Linked DNA regions of Astyanax mexicanus. The protein of the gene in region 2 interacts with the protein of the main gene of each other region in a pairwise test. Links are inferred from orthologs where the notes say so. Each region holds a gene or a part of one and is shown on either strand. Other genes may lie near its edges.

Region 1 (7,927 bases), on a different chromosome or scaffold from region 2:
AAAGCTAAGATTTACAACATAAAGCCAATTATTATGCTGTTATTATTGATTAATGCCATATATTTAATACTTGAATTAATGAAACTGAATGTATTTATTTATTAATGATTAAAGTATTACTTGTGGTATTTATGTCTATTTTGTGTTTTATTTATTTCTATTTGTGTTTGCAGTGTGGAAATGTATGTTGTGAATGTATGTTAAAAATTAAACCAATTGGTCATTCATTATTAAGTAAAATGTCTTGTTTTCTCTTGTGTTTTTTTTATTGCTTTTTAGGCAAGCAAATATGTTTTATCCGTTTACTCGAATAATCAAATCAATTTTTCAGTAGAGTACTCGATTACTAAAATAATCAATATGTTCAGCCCCAGTTATATCTGAAACACTACTTCTGATGTACCTGTCTGGATCATTTGCTTCAAACTCGTACAGTTTCCGGCTCCAGTACCGAGCCTCTCGCTCGTCTCTTTCAGACAGACCTCCCTTCTCACCAAGCCTGTCTCGTGCTGATCCTTCTGAGTCATCCATGTCTCTGTCACAGTGCATGCTGCTCCTGTGAAAGCATGGCATGTGGTCATCTAGAGAAACGGACATCAAATACAACAGCAGACACTGAAAGAAATAAGCGCTGTGGTGAGAGACGAAGCAGACGTAAACCTGGACAAATGGCTGCTGGTCATCCATCTGGGCTTGGAGGCCTGAGAAGAAGAGGACTGTTTCTCCATGTCCCGAAGCTTCCACATCTCAGACTCCTCCTGAATCTGCAGGAAGATAAAAAAAAAAAAACATTAAACATTATTTAATAGTCTGTTGTTGCAATACGTAAATTGCTATATTTTACCGTACAAGTTGTGAGATGTTATCTTGTTAGTGAGCTTTATCACTGTATTATTGTCCTATTAATTATCGTAGTTCAGGCAAAGCCTAACAGTGAGTGACAGATGGATGGGACGTTCCACTTCTGAAGTTGTGCAGACTTTTTACATCAAATAATCGTCAGATTAGTCGATTACTAAAATAGTCATTAATTGCAGCCCTATATGCATATCCCAAAGGCCAGTGCAGTGTTCTTTAACTTTCATTGGACATGGCAAATTTCATGGGACACAATACTAGAACCATGTCCCAGGACACACGGCATGTCAATGCATAATCAAATGCCAAATGATAATATAAGTGAGACTCTGAGAAATGCAAACATACCTTGTTGTGGGCATCTGTGTGTCTGATGACATTTCGGAGCAACACTTTACCCATAGGAACTCTCGACATGGTAACCCTAAAAATACAGAACAAATGACTAGTGCCAAACTACACTACATTCTGAATTTTATATAGAAAATCGGTCACTCACAGGTGATGTAACGTTGAGGTTGATTTTGTGTTAAATGCCATGCTGAATTTACCCTGCAATTCCTCTAAATCAATCACATTAATCATCAATTTATTTATTTTTTATTCTACAAAGACTACAATTTAAATTAATTTCCGCTGAGAAGCAAAAAAAAAGGAATGAATAACTAGCAAAAACTTACAAGCTCCCTGTAACAAACATCAGTCAGTAACAGATGTGTAAATATTTTAAATCTCCTACAACGCTAGAAAAATGTATATAGCTGCAGCTTTATTTACCTAACATTGCAAAACTATTAAAGAAGATACTCAAACATGCATGCAAGTTTATTTTCAGGAGATTATAGGCTACTTAAACATGTTTTAAAGAGTAACTACATAACTAAGACATTTTTTACATTAATTGTTGAAATATGTTGCTCTATATTAATATATTACACATCAGTCCCACTGATATAATAATTTTTATTATATGTTATATATGATATATATTTTACTTTGTAAAGATACTCAAAAAAATGTCCAAATAAGATAAAAAATATATTCTTTATTATTTTAATTAAAGTACTCAATGATTTTAGTACACATCTTTTAAATGATATTTTCCTGGATTCATGAAATGAAAGGCTGTGGGTTTTATTATTTAAGTGTAGTTTCAGAAGTGTTTATAGGTGTAAATAAGATAAAATCTGTAATATCCAGAATATTACAATATTACAATACTGGATGCAGCAGAATAAGCATTTCAGCTTGTTGTAATTAAGTCATATTTATCAGTGTTGTTAACAGATTTAACAGATTAATCCAAAGCAAAATTACATGGAGGCACTATTTTCTTATTTTTTAAACTTCTGTCTCTTCAGTTTTATTTCTTTAAATCCTCTAAAGATTATAAAAGCAAGTTGACTTCTACTATTTTCACTGTACAGATCACAGAAACTATACCTCAAATATGGCGGCTTGGTGACGTTTTGCATATTAAAAACACGTGACTGTCAACGAGCTGCTGTTGACTAGTATTGATCCCACTCCAAGAAACTTTACTGAATAATATTTCCAGCTCTTTATATAAAAAAATAAAAGACAGAAGACTCAACAGCTCTGTTTCATTTTCTCTTCATTTACTCTTAACAGATTTTCAATAAACTAGCTTTCTATCTATCTAGGTTAGGTAGACAACTGTTATATAGAAGCTAAATCTAATTAAACTAATGCTAGCTAGCTATCAAAGTGTGCAGAACGAACAGGACCTTTAATACTGTCTTTTTAACTGTAAAACTAGCAAATACACTTATTAAATAACCAGGTTTAAAGCTAGATGACTTATATAATTTGAAGCTCTTTGTTTACTATTACAGTACTGCAGTATTGAGCAGATCTGACAGTGCTAAGCTAAGTTAGCCTGTTAGCCCACACTATTTCTACCTCTACTGCTAAACCAGCAGCTCGTTAAGCTTTAATTTACACCGAAATCAATATTAAAACACCCAGTTACACAGATACACACCGCCACATACACATTATAAACCTGCCTGCGGGTTTATATTACCTTTAAAACCGGTTCAGTAGTGTGAACGTGGCGTCTTCCTCTCTCTCCTCACAACAACCCACAGCTCTTCTTCTACTGCTCTCCTCCCCCAATCACAGACTCTATACTGCCACCTACTGACACCTACTGGAACCTACTGGCTACTACAGACATAACACACAATATGATTTTTTGTGGCCGATATATCATCCCAATTATTATTGCGATAAACAATATTATTGTAATTTTAAGACCAGTTAACTTCCACTGATATAATGATAATATAATTGCATAAAAAATAAAAACATTTATCCTGTGTAACAGAGGTAACTCTTGGTCTTCCTTGTGTCATTCCTTGTGAGTGCCAGTTTCATCATAATGTTTTTGGTGATCTTTGTGACTGCACTTGAGGATATTTTCAAATTTCTTGAAATTTCAGACTTTTTCTATAATTTACTTATATTTATATTTTCCTTATTACAATCACAGAGCACTGAAAAACTTTTAATTTACCAATGTACTAATTTAATTTACTTTCTAAAAAGTTACATGATTCACTGTACTTTAAGTAAATTACTGTACCAGTTGTTTTTTTTAACACACTTTGCTAAAAATGTACAAAACTATATTTGGACATAAGTATTTTAGAATTACATTAAACTAAAGGTGTACTTTATAGTAGTCTATTTATTCAAATAAATGCTTTCAAGCATTTGATGAAAGCATAACATTGACATACTTTTAATATATTTTAAGTAAGTACATAAATCTGTAAGTATATTTACAGCATTCTTAGACATTTCTCAATATGTTTTAGGTACAATTAAGGAGGTATTTTTTATTCACCAGGGCAGTCTAAGCATTAATCTGAATGTACCGTTCAGTTAAGGAGAGCAAATGTCTTAAAACTGTGAGAATATGTTGATTGTTGTTGATGAAACAATATCAAAATCTTTGAAGGGTGATTTTTGCTAATGCGTTTGTATGAAACATGAGAAAATAACCTGTAATCATTCTGTTAGCAAGAAAACATACAAACCATAAAAAACAGCTAATGTAAAAAAATGTAACATAAAACTGGAAAAAAGGGACAAATTACAATTTAAATCATAGCAAAGATATTAAAATGTGATAATGTGTTAATGTGTTTGTTGTAGGACATAACTAATATATAATTAGGATTATGCAAATATTACTAAAAGCTGGATAAATATATATTTTAAGTTTTTGCCATAATATGGATAAAATAGATGCCTCAAACCTGGACTTAAAGACTTAAAGATCCAGCTCAAGACCAGCTGATCATCCAGAAAACGTTAGTAAACGAGTAAACCAACCAGCAAAGGATTTGTTTTTTTCTGGATGACCAGCTGGCTGGCCTTGAACTGGATTTTTTTTAGCAGGATTTATTTAGCAGCTTCTAGTTTGGCATATCTTTTTGACTGTAGCCTGTACCAACTAGCTAAGGATATTTGCAAAGTAAAAAATAAGTACTTTTCTAAGTCGCTCTGGGTAAGGGAGTTTGATAAATGCCTTAAATGTAAAGTTAAACGTAATGCCTTCTATAGTTGTGGTCTCTAGTATTAATGAATGCCATGTGAGCTGTTCTTTTGGTGTTTCTATTTAGCCCTGGTTTAGACACTGAAACAGGTTTTGGCTCTTGCTCATGAATATTCATGCATGCAAATACATTGCCTCTGATTGGCTAACTGCACTGCAGCAGAGAACGCCTTCCTGCCTCCCCAACAGTCAATTTTACAGCTCTAAAACTCAAAGGAGAAAATGTTTTCAGAGATACAGGCTTTTCTTTTCTTCAAAAAGTGGATTTTGGTGGGAAGAGACCTTTAAACTGCACAGAAATTCACTAGTACAGAACACAGGACCTTCTTTCTGTATTTACCTTCTTGCTTCCTTGCACATGGAAATAATAAATAACTTTATTAATTCACAATCAGAAAGCTCACATCACAAAACACAAGCTGTGGCTGAAACCGTGCCCTGTTCACCAATTCACCAATACACAAGTCCAGGTAATTATAAAGAGCACTATTATAACAAGGAACAGAACTTAACAAAGCATTAAATATACAGTACCTGTTGAAATCAGGAGGGGGAGCTCTTGTTACAAAGATACTGTCGCACACAGGTGACAGACTTTTTTTCTCTAATCGCGTGAGAAGGAGAGAGAGAAAACAGAGAGGGTTCTGATTGGCCTGTTCTCTGCAAAGAGTCTGTGAGACAGCCAATCAGTTTTTAGTGTGGGCGGGCAGTGTTTTTCCCCCCCTCCCGGACGGGATTTGTTCAGTGAGTGAGAGAAAGCAGATCATGGCGGAGGCAATATTAATAATTATTCTAATATGATATGAAATATTTTTGATGTTGTGCAGTTTTTTTGTGATATTGTAACTGTCAATTTTTGTCAAATAAAGGCTTTTTTTCCAAAGAAAAAAAAAAGGAAAGCAGAGGCAGGGCCTTCCAAAAAGAAAAAAGATAAATCTCATTTCACCTCTGAATACTCTAAATTTAATTTAGTAAAATTAATTAATATAAAAGTAAAGTTTCGTTATCCTTTGGTGTGTGTGCAAGTTTTTTTGTTTTGTTTTTTTGGGGTGGTGGTGGTGGGGGGGGGGGTAACCTCCCTGAAATCAACTTTTGCAATTTGGGATGTCTTTTAAGACATCTTAAAATATGCACAGTATCTATATTCACCTTTTCGTACGATATATCTCAAGATGTATTATCAGGCTGTGATAAGTGTGTCTCCATCACAAGGCATGGTGATTTCTGGGAATGTGAGTGTGAGGGAGTGGGAGAGCGACTAAAACAACACAGTTATTTTATTTAATACTCTAAATCCATAAAATCCCACAGCACCTTTTAACTAAAGAGAAAGCTATTCATGGAAAATATTTAACTTAGATTTATTTAACTCTGAGATTTAACTCAGACTGTATCTGTCTCCTAACACTGACTAGAAAAAATTCCAGATCTAGGGGACTTTTATGAAAAATCCATCACCTTATTGTATGATAAAGAGGAGAGTTGAAGATCAGACTTAAGATAAAAGATCCGTCCTGAAGAATGCAGCCCAAGCCTGGCAGACCACCAGCGTCATATTCAGCAAATTGGAGATTTCTGCGTGTGGAAACTGGCCGTGCAAAAGACAAAAACATTACTTTCAGTTTTAGAGATGGAAAGAATATGTGGGTAAATATAAAATATTAATTTAATTAATTAAATGATTCATTCTTTGTTGTTTTAGATAATTCATCTTAAAGTGATTTGTAAAAAGGAAGTATACTTAAGAGCATTAAAAATATATTCAAATTAGGTAAAGAATACTAAAAGTGCATTTTCAATGTAATATACTTTCTCTGTATTTCCATAAAATGTATTTCTAAGGAAATTGCTTTGTGTTGATAGAAAATATATATAGTGGCATTAAATACTGCTTAAAATGCACTTTTTTCCCAGTAGCATTAACGTGCACACATTAAAGTGCATCAGAAGCAGAAGTTATACCAAAAAAGCACAATCAAATGCTTTTATGTTGTGTTTAAATACATCTTAATTACAACTGAAATATACTTACAGTTAGTTGCCATAAGTTTTTCTAAAATAGCAGATTTAGTATGTATTTAAGTGAATATATAAAAAGTATATACTTTTCTATGTGTCACATCCTGGTCTCGTCTCGTGTCTCTGTGTGTCTTCCCCACGTGACCTGTGCTCCTCTGTGTCTCCCGTCTCAGTACTTTTCCACCTGTTTCTCATTTGTTGCTCCGCCCCTTCCCCAGGTGTTTCTAATTATAGTGTTTCCTGTTTCTTTAAATAGCCCTCCACTGCCACTTTGTCTCCGTTGGTCTTTGCACCTTCCCCTGTTGTTTTGTCTCTCTGTTGTTTCACCGCGTTTCATAGCCCAAGTCCTTGCTCTGTGTTTACCTCTGTTTATCTCGTGTATATTTCTGGTTTCCTGTTTATTTCCATTGTTTTCTCCCTTGCCCTGCTTAGTTTAGTTCTCCTTGTCTAGTTTAGTTTCTTGTTTAGCTCTATGTTCCCTGTATATAACCTTAGTCATTTGTTTCTCGTTTATTTCTTGTTTTCACGTTTATAGTTTATTTCCTTATTTATTTTCTAGATTATATCATCGCTCGTTTGTTATTGGTTATTTGTGTTTCTTTGTTTCATGTTTACTTGTTCCTCGTTTCCTTGTTTCTTTGTTATTTATTTAATAAATTATTTATTTATTTCGCCCTTACCTGCACTTGTGTCCGCTTTCCTCGTCACCCTGCCTGGGTCACCCCCATTTCCGTGACACTATGTTAAGTATACTTTTAAAATATACTTTTCTTTTCCTTTTTTTAACTAGTAGTAGTAATTTAATTTGCTTTCTAAAAAGTCACATGATACATTGTATTAAGTATTAACTACTGTAACAGATGTTTTTAACAAACTTTGCTAAAAATGTACAAAAGTATATTTGGAAATAAGTATTTAAGAAGTATATTGAATTACATTAAACTAAAAGTGCACTTCATATTAGTCTATTTTATTTTAAATACATATTGTTATATTGTACTTTTTAAAAAGTATGATCGAAGTTTTTTTTTTTTCGCACATTTGATGAAAGCATAATAATAATGTACTTTTAATATATTTTAAATAAGTACATAATATGTTTTTTCAATATGTTTAAAGTACAATTAAGTATATATTTTCTTTACCAGGGTGTACACAATAAATTCATTGTCTCAGGGAAAAAGTGAGTATTTGTACTTTTTCAAAGCCTACCTGAATTAAAGTAAAGAGTGTACGGATGAATGCAGAAACTGCAATATATAACAGTTGTAACAAGCAAGTTATAACATGTGGGTACTGAGGACATCTGAGGACATAGTTTTAGTCTCTCTGTCCTCAATCCACATCCCTTCAAACCTCACTGCTTCTTAAAAAACGCTTGCATTTTGGACGAACCCAATCATTACTCACAATCTCTTATTTTTTTATTTATTTTTTGCTGGCAGATGGTAAAGAACAAGGAGC
Region 2 (6,841 bases):
AAAAAATTGCTTTTACGAATTGCTGATTAGTTATTAGTATTTGTTTTACAAAACTAATAAAAACATATTGCTCAGAGAAAGAGCTTTAAAATCTAATTTTCAAAGGTGCCACATTTTGCACCATGCTCTGCTGTTTGTATGCATCTCTCAATCTGAAGACTCTGTTGAACAAACCCAAGAAGTAAATTGTATCTCAGTGTGTCTAGCTTGGTGATAACAGCACAGTACGTTCTTGTTCTTGGTTTACTAGAGATGTGGACATGAACACACTGTTATGTACCGGGTTGGGAGATGCCAACTGACCAAAATGGGATTTCTGATTCTGCAAATGTCTTAGACATTCCTGTTAGCGGTATTTGGTCTATATAGTGATTTAAATACCATTCTGTAAAATAATGTCTACTTAACTAATTACTTAAGTAAACATATTAATTTTCAGATACATTTTTTATAAATCTTTTGATCCTATATGTACAATTTGGACCCTATGTTGATTTTAGAAAACTTCCCATGATTAAAACTTGTGCAACACATTTTTTATGTTTAGATTTTAGATGTTTAGATGTTGTGACTCATTCCGTGTCAGAACTGTAACCCACGCCTGTAATATTACTCATTACTGGTGAAACAGAGTGATTCTGATTCACCTCTGCTTTTGGAGTTGTTGAGTATCTTCTGGGTTTTGGAACGAGTGTCGTACTGACTGTGGGACATGGGTGGAGCTGAGCTCCAGCAGTGCTGGGGTTCCTCAGGGGCTTGGTTCTGAGGTAAAGTCCAGCTCAGAGCCTCCTCCTGGGGTTCCTCTTTGACAGCCTCCCCCTCTCTTTCTACTCGCTGGTACCCTCGCCCAGACTTGTCACTCAACAGCCGCATCATACCTGTGATCTGCTTTTTAATTTCCGTACCCTCGTCACCTAGCCAGGCTGGAAGAGAAATAGTTAACACAAAGGTGGTAAAATAATATTACAACACAAACAATGTGTACAATGTGTAAGTGTACGTTTAGTTTAGTTCTAAATGCTGTATAATTACCCTATATACGTAAAAACAGCATGTAGTTATAAATAAAAAGCAATATCGGGAACAGTACCTTCATTCTCTGATATGTCCAGTGGTTCACTGTCTGTGTCATCATGGTCAGGGCTGTCAAATCCAGGCCCATAGTCTGTGGGAAATGTTTCTTTATTAATTTACTATGTTAAACATAAGTTTAGTTCACTATACACAGGTTCAGGAAACTCTAAATGCTAAAAGGATGAAACTGTGCTTGAACATCTCCATAAAAGCTTCATAACTTCATTACACAGATTCTTGAACGTTTGATTCATTTTACTGAACCAATTCTTTCGAACTGAATCTTTCAATGGAGCAAATGTTTCAACGAATCATTGATTCACCCGTAGATTTGAAGTTTTTGTTCTCATCCAATTGAGAAGAACAGAGAAAAGATCTGCACACTTTTAGTATTTTAATCTCAGTGTCTTCATGAGGGAGAGTCACCTGGAATAGTTTTCTCAGTGTCTTGAAGGATTTTCTGGGGGTGCTAAACAATAGCTGCTGCTTTTCCTGCTGTGAAGCTCCAACTCATCTCAAATCTCCTATCTCAGTTGGCCAAACACTTTTTTGATTTTACAACATAATTCCATAGTGTCCCTTATTGTTTTTATGTCTCTAACATTAAGCTACAATGTAGAAAATAAATAAGTAAAGACAAACTTTGAATGAGAAAGTGTGTCCAAACTCCAAATGTTTGACTGATACTGTATCAAAACATAAAAATATTATTTAGATTTCTTAAAGCATTTCCTTGATTTACTAAGTTTAATCAATTGTTTAATAACTTGTTTCCTTGGTTAAACTAAATCATCCTTTCTAAACTGAGGGAATCGTTTAAGAAATATAGAGAACAGTCTATCAGACTATGTCTGTAAATATTCGTTTTTCTACTTTAGACCGTTTAGGGTTCTGTCATTTTACCTATACCAGCACTCTGTAAAAAAAAAACTAAACTTAAAATTGTTCTCCTTAATGTAATTTTTATGCCAGATGAACAAGAAATATTGAATTGCACTTTTTTATTCAGTTTATGACCTATAATACATGGAGCGGAATAAGTTTAAGTATTATTCCTTGCTATAAGATGCTTCTGCAGACCTTTCATTTCTGACATGCAATAAAACGTTGATTCAGTTCGAATCGGTTCGGGGAATTCAGAGAAAAAAGAACCGAATCAGAAGAACGACTCGGTGTCTCGTGCGCACCTGTAAGCAGCCGGGAGAGAGAAAGAAAAACGGCGAGATTAAAACGGCTCAGTCCGGAGAGTCACATCATAATCTCTCCTGGTGAACCGGTCAGACATGCCGGTACCACCCGGGAGACGGAAGCTTGGAAGCGCGCGCGCATCTCCAATAGCAACAGCATCAGCATCACTTCAGCAGCATCAGCATCACTTCAGCACAGACGTGTTTTTTTTTTCATGCTAGTGGTCATGCAGTTAATGTGCAGCTCTCTCTCTCACTCTCTCTCTCTCATGCCCCCCCCCCCCCCCCCCCTCCCTCCCTCTCCTATTGTCTGCTTGTTGCTGGCTGGCTGTCTGCGCCCCTGCTGCGCTCATTAAACCTCCTTACCTTGCTCGCTGACCAGTTTAAAGCTCGGAGATTTTCTGCTCCGTCTCCTCTCCCCAAACTCCATTGTACCGGAGACAGAGCGGACCGTGCGCGCGCGGCGGTACCGGAGTCGCCCTGTTCATCAGCAGCAGCAGTGGCGGCGGCGGCAGTGGCGGTGGCGGCGGCGGTGGCAGCAGCAGCAGCCCTGCAGGGACCGACCGTGGTCCGTCTGCTTAATCAGTAAAAACTCATCAGAGCGGCCACAGCTCCCGTCTACCGCCTCCCTGCCCGGCCACAGCTCCCCAAAGCCCGTCAGAGGCGCGTCTGAGCTCGGGGCATCGCGCTCTCCGCGCTGGCGTCCATTCAGGGCCGCTCGTTTGTGATGTAAATAAATAAATCAGTTAATTCTTTAAAAAAATCGTCACATCTAGTCCTTTGCGCCACCTGATGGTAGCTAATATTTTGTGGGGCTCAAATAGTAATGTCCAGATCCACTCTGCTGGACAAGTACCACTTTTACACAAAAAAACTAAGTTTTCTCTTAAGTTTGATCCATTTTCGACCTCACATGGATATCGATTATCTAACAAATTAATCCATCTCACAATTCAAATTCCACTTCCATTATCCTTTTTAAACAGGTCAGTGTTGGTGTGATTAATGGGATGCATTGTATAGGCAATAGAAAAAAGACTGTAAAGCTATAATGATCATGGTCTTTTAAATAAATAATTACACAGTGTGTCCAGGGAAGCATTTAGTATATGAAACATATAAGACTGATATCTCCAGCTGGGGTATCTTCTTGCAACATACCTGGGTCGACTGTTGTAGGCTACTAAAACAGCCCACAAGTGACCACCAGTCAGGCAGTTTTAACTTAGTTTGTACCACATGTGATGTATTACCCAACCGCATGTAGTTACACACAGAACCAAAAGAGGGCGCTGCACTGCGCTTTCTCCAATCAATAATGGTATCTCTGTGAATGGTTTTAAAACTCCAGCTACTTTTTAAATTTAGGACAACATAATTATATAAATATAAGCTTTCTATTTGACATAATAAACTAAATGGTTAATAGATTTTAATAGTTTTAAAATGTTTTAGGATTTAAAATCCTAGTACTGCAACAGTAAAAAGAAAAATATGGTTTGTTTATTTGTTTAAATATCTGTTGGTAATCCGTCACCATCCTGCTTTCTTTTTGATAAAAGAGACATCCAACCACCTTACATCGAACCCAAGACTTATAACTAATAAATATTAATATGTGATAAAAACAGGAGATCTGCTATCCTTTTGTCATCTAGAATATAAACACTGATTTCACACAAATGTCACTTTTTTCAAAGATAAATGGAAATATATATATAAAAAAATACAAATAATCACAGTTGCATATAATCACTGCCAAGCATAAACCAGCGCTTAAATGTGAACTGATTGCAACCATCTTTCGAAAATATTTTTTTTTCAAACGATTCAAATCACTTTTAAAAAATATTTAATCTTTTTGAAAATCGATTGGAATCACTTTTCAAAAATGTTTTTCATTTATGTTTGCAAAAGATATTCAAAAGAGAAAACTAAAGCCTTCTAATGTGGATGTTAGCTATTTTTTATATTCATAAATGTAAAATTAAAAAGAGCTTTCCACTCTCTATGCTTTTTAAAATTGAAATAAAGAAGCATATGCCAACTTTTGTATTGTATGTTTACTGTTCAGGGATGGTTTATGAAATGAAAAGCTCAATAGAAATAAAAAAGTATTAAATATTTTAGTTAATAGAATTTATTTGCTATATAGATTTAATAGTAGAATATTACTAATATTATTTATTTTAGTGCATAACGGACAAAAACAGCATTCTTACATTTTTTCCATTACTGGAAATAATTCAGATCTGAAAATAGCTAATTTTAGACCTAACCTTTGACTGTAAATTGGTAATGTGTGCTGTAATAAAATACAACTGTATTTTAAGTGTGTATTAACTTTTGTCTGGAACTGTACATCAGATAAAGAAAATGTGTTAATGATAAAAACGTGTAGCAGGGTTGTGTCTGTAATTCCAGTGGGAGTCGCCAGAGAGCGCCACCGCGTTCTGCGGCCCCCAACACAGGCAGGAACTCACCGGATACAACTTCCACAACAGTCTGGGAGCTGTAGGATTCAAAATCAGCGTGTTTAGCGAAAACCCGCTACTCTGCGCTCATAAACATGGATATCCTAAAAGCCGAGATCGCGAGGAAGAGGAAGCTGATGGAGGAGAAACAGCTGGTTGATGTGAGTGATGAAAACAAGCTCTTTATTCACGGTGGTAGCGCTGGAGTTTTCCATACGGCGGCTGTGCTCCAATCTGAGCTGCATCTGTCTGTGGCGTGTTGTCCAGCTAGCTAACCTGGCTAGCTAGCTGATTGGTTCCTTTTTAAATTAATGTTAGCTATCAGCGCTGAACACTCACATTGTTACTCCTGCGAGTGCGAGAAAGTCTGGACTAAGAGGCTACCAGTTGCTATTTAGCACATTAGCTAGCTAGCGTTAGCATGCTGCACACTACGTTGTTCACTAGATTCAACTACACTTGGTAGCTACTGCACTAGGGTTAGAGTTCTAAACCCACTCACAGCCCGTTAGTTCTACTCAGTTGTTCAGAAAACGCATATAAAATGATGTGTCCCAGTACGCATTTGGTATGCTATCAGTATCTAGTACATATGATTAGATTTAACTCATACTAGACCTACGATTTTTCTAGAATGCACTAGATACGTGTAGCCTACTATGTAGTGGATACACAACGCGGATTGGAACGCACCCGGCGATTTTGTTGTTTTCCAGCTGATGTAAAAGCCAAAGAACGAGATCTAATTAAACATTTATGTTCAACACGAGGTCACCTTAGGAGCTACTTTAAAAAGTCCAGCTAATGTTTATATTGTTTAAAATTAATCAAGAATGGACGTTAAGCAAGGATTTAGATTTATTTACATTAAACATATTACTAAATATATTAAAACTATATTAACAAGTGTAATAGAGAGGAGGATTATGAGCTCAGACAGTTGTATCATGTACAGCTGTTTTTATGGATTAAGGCTGCAACTAATGAGAGTCGACTAATTTGATGATTTGATAACTTGGTTTGTCCCGATTAGATCCAGTTAGGGTTTGGCCTAGTTAAATCTGGTTAGAATGGTTGTTTGTTTAATATCTGTCTTTGGCCCTTTTAGAGACGGTTAGACAAGGTTGGTTTGATAACTGATAGAAATGATAGAAACAGTTGACAGATTTAATCCATTTTAAATGCCCAGAAGTCATTTTAATATTAAATGATCTGATATTTATTGAGTGTTTATTTTGTTGTGTCTATCACTAACCCAAACATGTCATAATAACACTTTACCCTTCTACTTTTTTAGAGCTCAAAGAAGTACTTTAAGCGTGCTGATCTAGCCCGAAAGGAGGAAGAAGAATACTACAAAAGATGTGGCTACAAGGTTAGTGAACACTCAGCATTACTGATCTCTTACTAAATTCTCACAAATAACAGCTAATAATCATTTACTAGAGGTGATGTCTATTTCTGGTTCTGACTTTGGTCAGATACTCTGACTTACATTCTTAAAACTATAGGTGCTTCAGGTGGGTTTTTGTGTGATGCCATTGTAAAACAATGTTTATGTAGAAGTTTTTGATATGAAGGTTTTTACTGGATTATCGATGATTTACACTCATATATTTGAATTAAAAACATACACTTTATGGACAAGAGTACAACATTATTGGGACACACTTTTAATTATTGAATTCAGGGGTATAAAAGCAAGTACCTTGATATACCTAGACATGCAGTTGTCATTTACAGACATTTGTAAAAATAATTAATTAACAAACCCCATAGATAAATAGTTAGATTTTGATAATAGTAGTATTATGTCCTAAAAGTATTCTATATACTGTGAAGCGTTAATGCTTTTTGTATGACTCTTTTTTTTTTGCAGTTTATGTGCATTAATAAATATTCAGCACTTTAGTATTGTGGTACATTACATTGTTCGTATGTTACATTATTTTGTTATATTATTATTTCACACAAAATCAGACTCATGGTAAGTTCTACGGTATGTTTAAAGTGTTACACTATACTACACTACACTATACTAACAGTATAATTTTGATGTTTTGCAGTAGAACATTTTTTAAATTAATAAAATGTTTCAGTTTTTTT
Region 3 (7,729 bases), on a different chromosome or scaffold from region 2:
TTTTTTTTATCAGATTATTCTTGCACATTAGATCTTATTATTATCTCATTATTGTGATCAGAAAGTCATTAAAGCATCTCGTTTCTATTTGTATCATGTATGTGACAGTATGCTATACATTTATTTTCTTGCCCAATTTTCAAGTACAATAAATAAATAAGTTTGCTGTACAGTATTTAGCTTATTAAAACTTACTAAATCAAAACATAACACAACCTAACAACTTCAACCAACAAGTTTCCAATTTTTTAAATATAGGACTATAGAGACCTTATGGTGGTGTGGCATAACATCACCACCCTCCCTGTGACTGAAATGTGGGGTTTGATTCCTAGGCTGGACATGCACACCGCTACACCAACATAACATTTCAACATCATCATCACCATGCGGGTATGCACAGTAGTCATATCACAGTATGTGCAATGTCATGTAAGGCAAAATGAAATACATTTTTGCAGCTTAATAAGTGAAACATTCATACTGTAGTGGTTTTATGGTATATACACTATAATGACAAAAGTATTTACCGGTACTTGCCTGCCTTCGCATGTATATGAATTTTAGTGACATCCCTTTGTTAATCCAGAGGGTTTAATATGATGTTGGCCCACACTGTGCAGCTATAACAGCTTTAGATCTTTTAGGAAGGCTTTTCACAAGGTTTAGGAGTGTGTTTACGGGATTTTTTGATCATTCTTCCAGAAGAGCATTTGGAAGGTCAGACACTGATGTTGGATGAGAAGGCCTGACTCGCAGTCTCCACACTTCATTCGAAAGATATTTTATCGGTTTGAGATCAGGACTCTATAGGCCAGTCAAGTTCTTCCACACCAAACTCAATCATCCATGTCTTGACATTGCTTTGTGCATTGCTGTGCAGTAGGGCTGAAACTAATGACTATTTTACTAGTCGACTAATCTGACGATTATTTTTTCGATTAGTTGATTAGTCGCAATTATTTTGCCATGCCCTTTTTTGTACTTCTTACTGGAGAGCCTCTTTTTTAACTTTAGATTTACTTTTTTCAAAGAGCACACTGAACTTTTTGTGTCTCTTCTTTTTGGGATACTTTAACTGTGGAAGAAAACTGTTATTTGAAAAGGCTGTTGTTTACAATGAATCTGTGTAATATAACTTGCCTTTCAGTTGTTGATGATTTGGGCACCCCTATTAATCTTAATCATTTTTAGTTCTAAAGTTTGCAACAGCCATTTCAGTTTGATATATATAAGAACTGATGGACACAGTAATATTATATTATATAATAATATAGGATTGAAATTAGGTTTATTGTACTAACAGAAAATGTGCAATATGCATTAAACCAAAATTTGACCGGTGCAAAAGTATGGGCACCCTTATCATTTTATTGATTTGAATACTCCTAACTACTTTTTACTGACTTACTGAAGTACAATATTGGTTTGGTAACCTCATTGAGCTTTTAACTTCATAGCCAGGTGAATCCAATCATGAGAAAAGGTATTTAAGGTGGCCAATTGCAAGTTGTTCTCCTATTTGAATCTCCTCTGAAGATTGGCATCATGGGCTCATCAAAACAGCTCTCAAATGATCTAAAAACAAAGATTGTTCAACATAGTTGTTCAGGGGAAGTATACAAAAAGTTGTCTCAGAGATTTAACCTGTCAGTTTCCACTGTGAGGAACATAGTAAGGAAATGGAAGACCATAGGGACAGTTCTTGGTAAGAACTGTGTCCATCAGAACGGTGTCCATCAGTTATTAGATATATCAAACTGAAATGGCTTTTGCAAACACCCAAATATTTAGAACTAAAAATGATTAAGATTAATAGGGGTGCCCAAACTTTTTCATATGACTGTAACTACCAGAGTGCTTCTCCACTCTTCCTTTGGACTCTGGTCCCTTGATTTCCAAATGGAATGCTAAATTTACTAATGGTGAGTAATGTAGCTTTGTCTCAGAAGTGTCTTTGTGTTATTACCTTATGGGATTCAATAAAATCAAGATATATATTGTATATCGTCATTCACTGAAAAAATATTGAGGTATTATTTTTGGTCCAATTTGCTGAGCCCTAATTGAAATACAATTTTTGCATAAGATGTTGTTGTGGGTAAAAGATGTAATCACAAAATATATATTTTGTGAGTGTTTATTTTGAATATGGTTATAAGCTCTGTGTTGTGTGGGGGATGCTTATTGTTTAGCCAATGCAAAAAACAAGACTAGTAACTAAAGTACTAAAGCAAATCGTGTGTGTGTGTGTGTTTAGAATTTTATAAATAAGATAAAACACAAGGTACACACGTACACACACACACACACATAAAAAAAATCCACACAAAAACACAAACTGCTGCTTCATTCGCCTGGCACGGATAACTACGTCCTCCAAGCAGCCATGAGCTCAACACAAGCAGCTGTTCTTCACCTTTACAAAACAGCCCGGTTCTCAGGGCTGAACTGCGCTGTGAATTTGATTGAATACGCCACATTCAGACTACATGGTCACAAAAATAAAGATAAAGCCAATATAGCTATATATCTATACAAAGTACCTACAGCACAGCCACTGGGAATATAACGTAAGTTAGCTAATTCTGACTCAACCAACATCACTGCTTCAACCATAATGTTAAATATGGATAATTACAGTGTTTTAGATCAATTATACATCAACAATATTCACATAAAACCTCATAAACCTTTCTCAGCTCAGTCTGAACATAGCCGAGGCCATTTAACTAACGTTACCCCTCTCTCTCTCACCGTTACCTATTACACAGAGACTCAGCTAGCCTAGCTAAATAAACATGAAAACGCATTAAAACACACAATGACATCCATATTAATCCAGGTGGAGCGTTAAATACAGCCTTTACCTCCTCAGCGCGTCCAGGATAAAGGCTGAAATGTGTTCATTTTCCGTCTAAATGAAAATCTCCCGATCTCCTGAGGATCTCACTGCGCTAGCCAGCAGGCTAACAGAGACTAGCACAGAGAGCACAGAGCAGAGCCAGGCAGCTCCGCCTCCCCCCCACAACAACAATCCCACACTATTCATTATTTATTTTCCTTTACTTATTTTATTATTTTATTTCGTGACTAATGAATACAAATAAAAAATAAATAAAAGAACTACAACATTATTTTTAATTTATAAATGTATTTACTGATTTATTTAATTACTTAATTAATTAATGTAAATACAAATTACACTACAATACAATCAATAACATATTATGTGTACACGATTAGCAGTTATGCACATATAATGTTAACGACATCCCAATAAAAATAACTACAAAATATTACAAACAACAATTTTTTTTATAATTAATGAATGTATATATTTATATATTTAATTAAATAATGTAAATACAAATTACAAAATAATGCAATATAATATAATATATATACTGCACACTGTTATTTAGCTATGATAGTTAACTATATATATATTTGATTAAATAGTGTACATTCTAATTACATTACAATGCAATCAGGGATATTTCCATATTTTGTACAAATTACATTAAATAAATATATATATATATATTTGTAAATAAATAAATTAATATACGTATGTATGTATGTATGTGTGTATCTAAATACAAACTACATTAAAATACAGTCAATTACATTTACATATTTACGATTAACAGTTATTTACATTTAATGTTTCTGTCCAAATGTCCAAGAACATCCAAACTAGACATGAACTCCAAAACTAATGTCATAAAACTAAATATAATGAAATTCAACCAAACAAATGACTTAAACAAAACAACATTTACAGGATAGTATAATAATAAATAAATCAATCCTAAATAATTCTTAGACAATATATAAGTAATAACAATATATACCTTTAGAATTACTAAAGTGAAGTTTAAAGACATTTCATGGTTAAACAAATATATGTTCTAGATTTGCTAGTAAGTAATCAAGCTGTATCAAATATGATAACAAAAAGGTAAAAGTAATATATGCAAAGTTTGAATTTTCATGCTGCTGCTGTTGTTTAGGTAGGAACACAAATCTGAGTGGGAACGAGTTTTCGCGGGGCAGGTTTGCGGAGTGAAGCGGGCGGAGGGTTAGTACAGTTAGTAACACCAGCAGCAGTAGCGGCTTTAGTTACACAGTTAGCTGTGAGATAATTAGTATAAAGGTGATCATGCCAGCGGGGAGAAGCTTCCGAAGAAGAAAAGAAGAGTCTTCAGATGAAGAGGAATCCAACGAGGTCACATCTGAAGTCAGGTGGGCTATCGGCTGGATCTACACTGTAAACAAACGTTTGGTTAACGTTAGCTCGAGAACTAGCGAGTTAACTAACTTAAGCTAGGGTAGCTAACCTAGCATAAAAAGCTAACAACAATTCTTAACTGTAGATAGAGCTGCGTTTTGCTGACTCTTTGGGAATATTAAGTACAGATCGGCATTATATAGCTAAAATATATTTTGTAATTTAAGAGTATTTAAGATGTCTAAGTTAAACTAGCTTCCTGCTATCTAGTAAATCTAAAAGCTAAATGTGGTACTTAGAAGAATCTAAAGTATAAAACATATTGTGTTTGTTTATAAAATTAACTTCTTTTTACAAAATAATTCAGCCTATGTTTATGTGTAACTTAAATATCTTTAATATTAAACTTACAATGTAGTGGGCCAAATATAGGGCTACAGGTCACTGTGCTGTTTGGTGACATGGTGTGTACCACACAACATGGACCAGAGAAAGCGAAGGAAAGAGTTTCTCTCAGGAAATAAAAATATATATATATACATATACAGAAGCATGTTAAATGTTTTGGACGTGGGATATACTATGGACAGAAAAAAAAAAATTTGCCAAGGCACATTAGCTCTTTGTTTAAAATGGACAAATGAAGCATATCAAGAAAAGACTGTCCCTACTGTGAAACATGGTGGAGGCTCTGTTATGTTCTGGGGCTTCTTTGCTGCATCTGGCACAAGGTGTCTTGATTCTGTGCGGGGTACAATAAAATTTAAAGACTATCAAAAGATTATAGAGAGAAATATGCTGCCCAGTGTCAGAAAGCTTGGTCTTAGTCGCAGGTCATGGGTCTTGCAACAGGACAATGACCCAGGACAATAAAATATAATAAGTGTTTTTTTAAGTAATGGATGAAGTTAAGAAATGGCACATTTTCCTTTCTAAAAATCTATAATATTACAAAAATTCTAGTTTTATAAAGCAGTAACAATGTTTTTAGTTACTAAAACCCTAGATAGATTATATGGTTATTAATATGTAAGTCTGATACTATTACTGTTAAACATGTTATAAATCATATCTCAAATTCGAAATTCTACTGCATGTACATACCTTGAACTTGTTACGGCGCATGGTTAAGATTGCATTTCAGGCTAAAATGTCTTCTGGCAGAGTACCGGATGTAGCTTTAGCTACTCATCTTCACTGAGTAAAATGGGACAGGAGAAGTGGTGTACATTTAATGGATTATGTTGTTCAGCAGTGTCAGCAAGCACCCTAGATTTAGGCTCACCTGAGAGAGTACCCTTAGGAAAGAATGCTGACAGTCAGAGTCACGCTGTTGGGTTTAAAGCTTCCTTTAAAATCTGCTACTCTATATCTGAAGAGTCTGCAGTCTGAGCTAATCTTGTGCTTACGACTAAATCCGCAGGGCGAAACTGGATGAAGCAAAAGAACTTCAGAGTTTGCGGAAGAGACAGAGTGGCGTGAGGTATGCAAGTGTTTAAGATAACCTTTATCTACTATTAATTGTTTGTGATTGTCGTTATTGTTTGATATTATGACTACAGTGGGAACCTAGCTTTCTAGACCATGTTTTATATCCTTCTCCACAGTTTGACAGCATTGCTTGTGGGAGAAAAGTTACCGCTGGAAGCAGAGGTTGAGGTAAGCTTGCATGTGCATTTTTACATGTGTAAATTATGGATTTACAGACTTTAGACTTTAGTTGCGAATGTGGCAGTGTTTGAAACAAATAGAGTATCCCAACACCTGTTGTGTTGAAATAAAGACTCAAATCAAAGCCCAAGCCTCTCAAATGCCTGAAAGTGCCTTAAAGTGCCTTAAAGAACTGCAGCAGAACATCTCAGTTCATCAATATCGATTGTCATCCACAGTAGCATCTTTGATGGGTAAGAACAGTTAGTTCTCACAGTTAATGTGTTAAAACCAGAAGGAAATGAGAAGGCTAAGGATCTGAGCCACTTTCACTAAGATCTTTAGGGTTCACTATGGTAGTTGTGCTGGCTAGATGACTGGGTTTAAACATCTCAAAAACCTCAGATTTTATAGTATGCAGTGGCCATTACATTGCAGACATCCAGAGAGCTGGCAACAGGGTCATAGACACGTAAGGTTCATTGATGTGATTGATGGAGGTTCCACCTCAGAGCATCTAAGGTTGTGTGGAGTTGTTAGTTATTGTTATGGCAGATCTGTTTATATCAAGTTATTTTTATTAGAAACATTTTAAATATTTATTAGAATCTTTTAACATTGTAGGAGTACAATTTTTGAACAAAATCCTGTAATTGTGTATTGTAATGTAAATGTTCTCCCAGAGACCTTATCTTTTAGCCACATGTTTTAGCTAACATGCTAGTGGTTACAATACAATGTGTAATGCTGCTTGATTTTTATAGTATTTATTCATGTTCTATTACATAGCTAGTATACATAAATAAATTTTATACTGAATGCGGAATTGATTAAATGTACAGAAGTTTATTGGAAACTAATGTTGTTAATCTTCTTTATTCTAGGATGATCCATTTAAGCTCAAGACAGGAGGTGTTGTGGACATGAAGAAAGTGAAAGACAGAAACAGAGACAAGTAAGTCTAAAATGTATCAAAAATAGTATCAAATAGCCTGTCTTGGTTAGTAGATTTTATTACTGTGAACATATGTGTGTGCACAAGATTATATATATATAATTTATCCTATGTATGCATTCCAGAATTGAGGATGAAAATGACCTGAACCTGGGAACCTCCTTCTCTGCAGAGACCAACAGAAGAGATGAAGATGCAGATATGTATGTATGCACACCTGTATATGCATTATATCACATCTAATGCTTTCTTCATTGTTTGTTTCTTTGTCAAACACATTGCTTGTTTCCCTGCCATTCAGGATGAAGTACATTGAAACAGAGCTGAAGAAAAAGAAGGGTTTAGTGGAGGCAGAAGAGCAGAAGATCAAGGCAAAGAATGCAGAGGACCTCCTGTATGAGCTGCCAGAGAGCATCCGTGTTAATTCTGCCAAAAAAACAGAAGAGATGTTGTCCAATCAGATGCTTAGTGGCATTCCAGAGGTGGACTTGGGAATTGAGTAAGTGCAAATGAATGGTTTCCTATTTTAAGGACTTAATTGATCTGGAAAAAAGAATAAAAAAAAGCTAAATATTTTATAGTAAAATGATCCAACATTACATATTTGTTGAAAAAGTTTGGCAACCTTTAAGAGTAAAAAGTATAATATAACTGAAATGGTTACAAGGTTTGTTACAAGAACATAAACGTTGGTCCTCACTCTCATTCAAGTCTTGATTTTGGAAGTGTATCATGCATCAAACAGAGAACATTCCTGCACACACAGAAAAAAGAGTTTTTGAAGCACATCAAGCTAGAAGAGGTGAAAAAACAACTGCTGAAATGTCTCTCCTTCTAAAGCAGATAATCTACAGATTAAGAACATTCAGCACCACGGTTCCCATCACAAA

What was found. The genes of interacting proteins can lie anywhere in the genome.
Region 1: the proteins of bend7 (region 2) and nkapd1 interact in binary tests that used the Homo sapiens proteins (3 or more experiments, as listed by UniProt). The two-hybrid records come from large-scale screens. The link is inferred for Astyanax mexicanus from reciprocal best matches to the Homo sapiens genes BEND7 and NKAPD1.
Region 3: the proteins of bend7 (region 2) and usp20 interact in binary tests that used the Homo sapiens proteins (3 or more experiments, as listed by UniProt). The two-hybrid records come from large-scale screens. The link is inferred for Astyanax mexicanus from reciprocal best matches to the Homo sapiens genes BEND7 and USP20.

Annotation. Positions count from the first base shown.
Region 1 is NC_064425.1:3,339,470-3,347,396, forward strand, and holds the start of nkapd1 (NKAP domain containing 1), read right to left. Parts: upstream 3,014-7,927; 5' UTR 2,906-3,013; intron 1,283-2,905; 5' UTR 1,276-1,282; coding exon 1,207-1,275; intron 765-1,206; coding exon 661-764; intron 557-660; coding exon 404-556; intron 1-403.
Region 2 is NC_064416.1:15,392,808-15,399,648, forward strand, and holds the start of bend7 (BEN domain-containing protein 7), read right to left. Parts: upstream 3,006-6,841; 5' UTR 2,692-3,005; coding exon 2,628-2,691; intron 1,166-2,627; coding exon 1,091-1,165; intron 924-1,090; coding exon 648-923; intron 1-647. Other genes in the region: prpf18 (pre-mRNA-splicing factor 18), read left to right, coding at 4,831-4,896, 6,033-6,110.
Region 3 is NC_064408.1:16,875,286-16,883,014, forward strand, and holds the start of usp20 (ubiquitin carboxyl-terminal hydrolase 20), read right to left. Parts: upstream 3,014-7,729; 5' UTR 2,871-3,013; intron 1-2,870. Other genes in the region: c1h9orf78 (telomere length and silencing protein 1 homolog), read left to right, coding at 4,166-4,248, 5,658-5,717, 5,842-5,893, 6,769-6,839, 6,965-7,042, 7,141-7,338.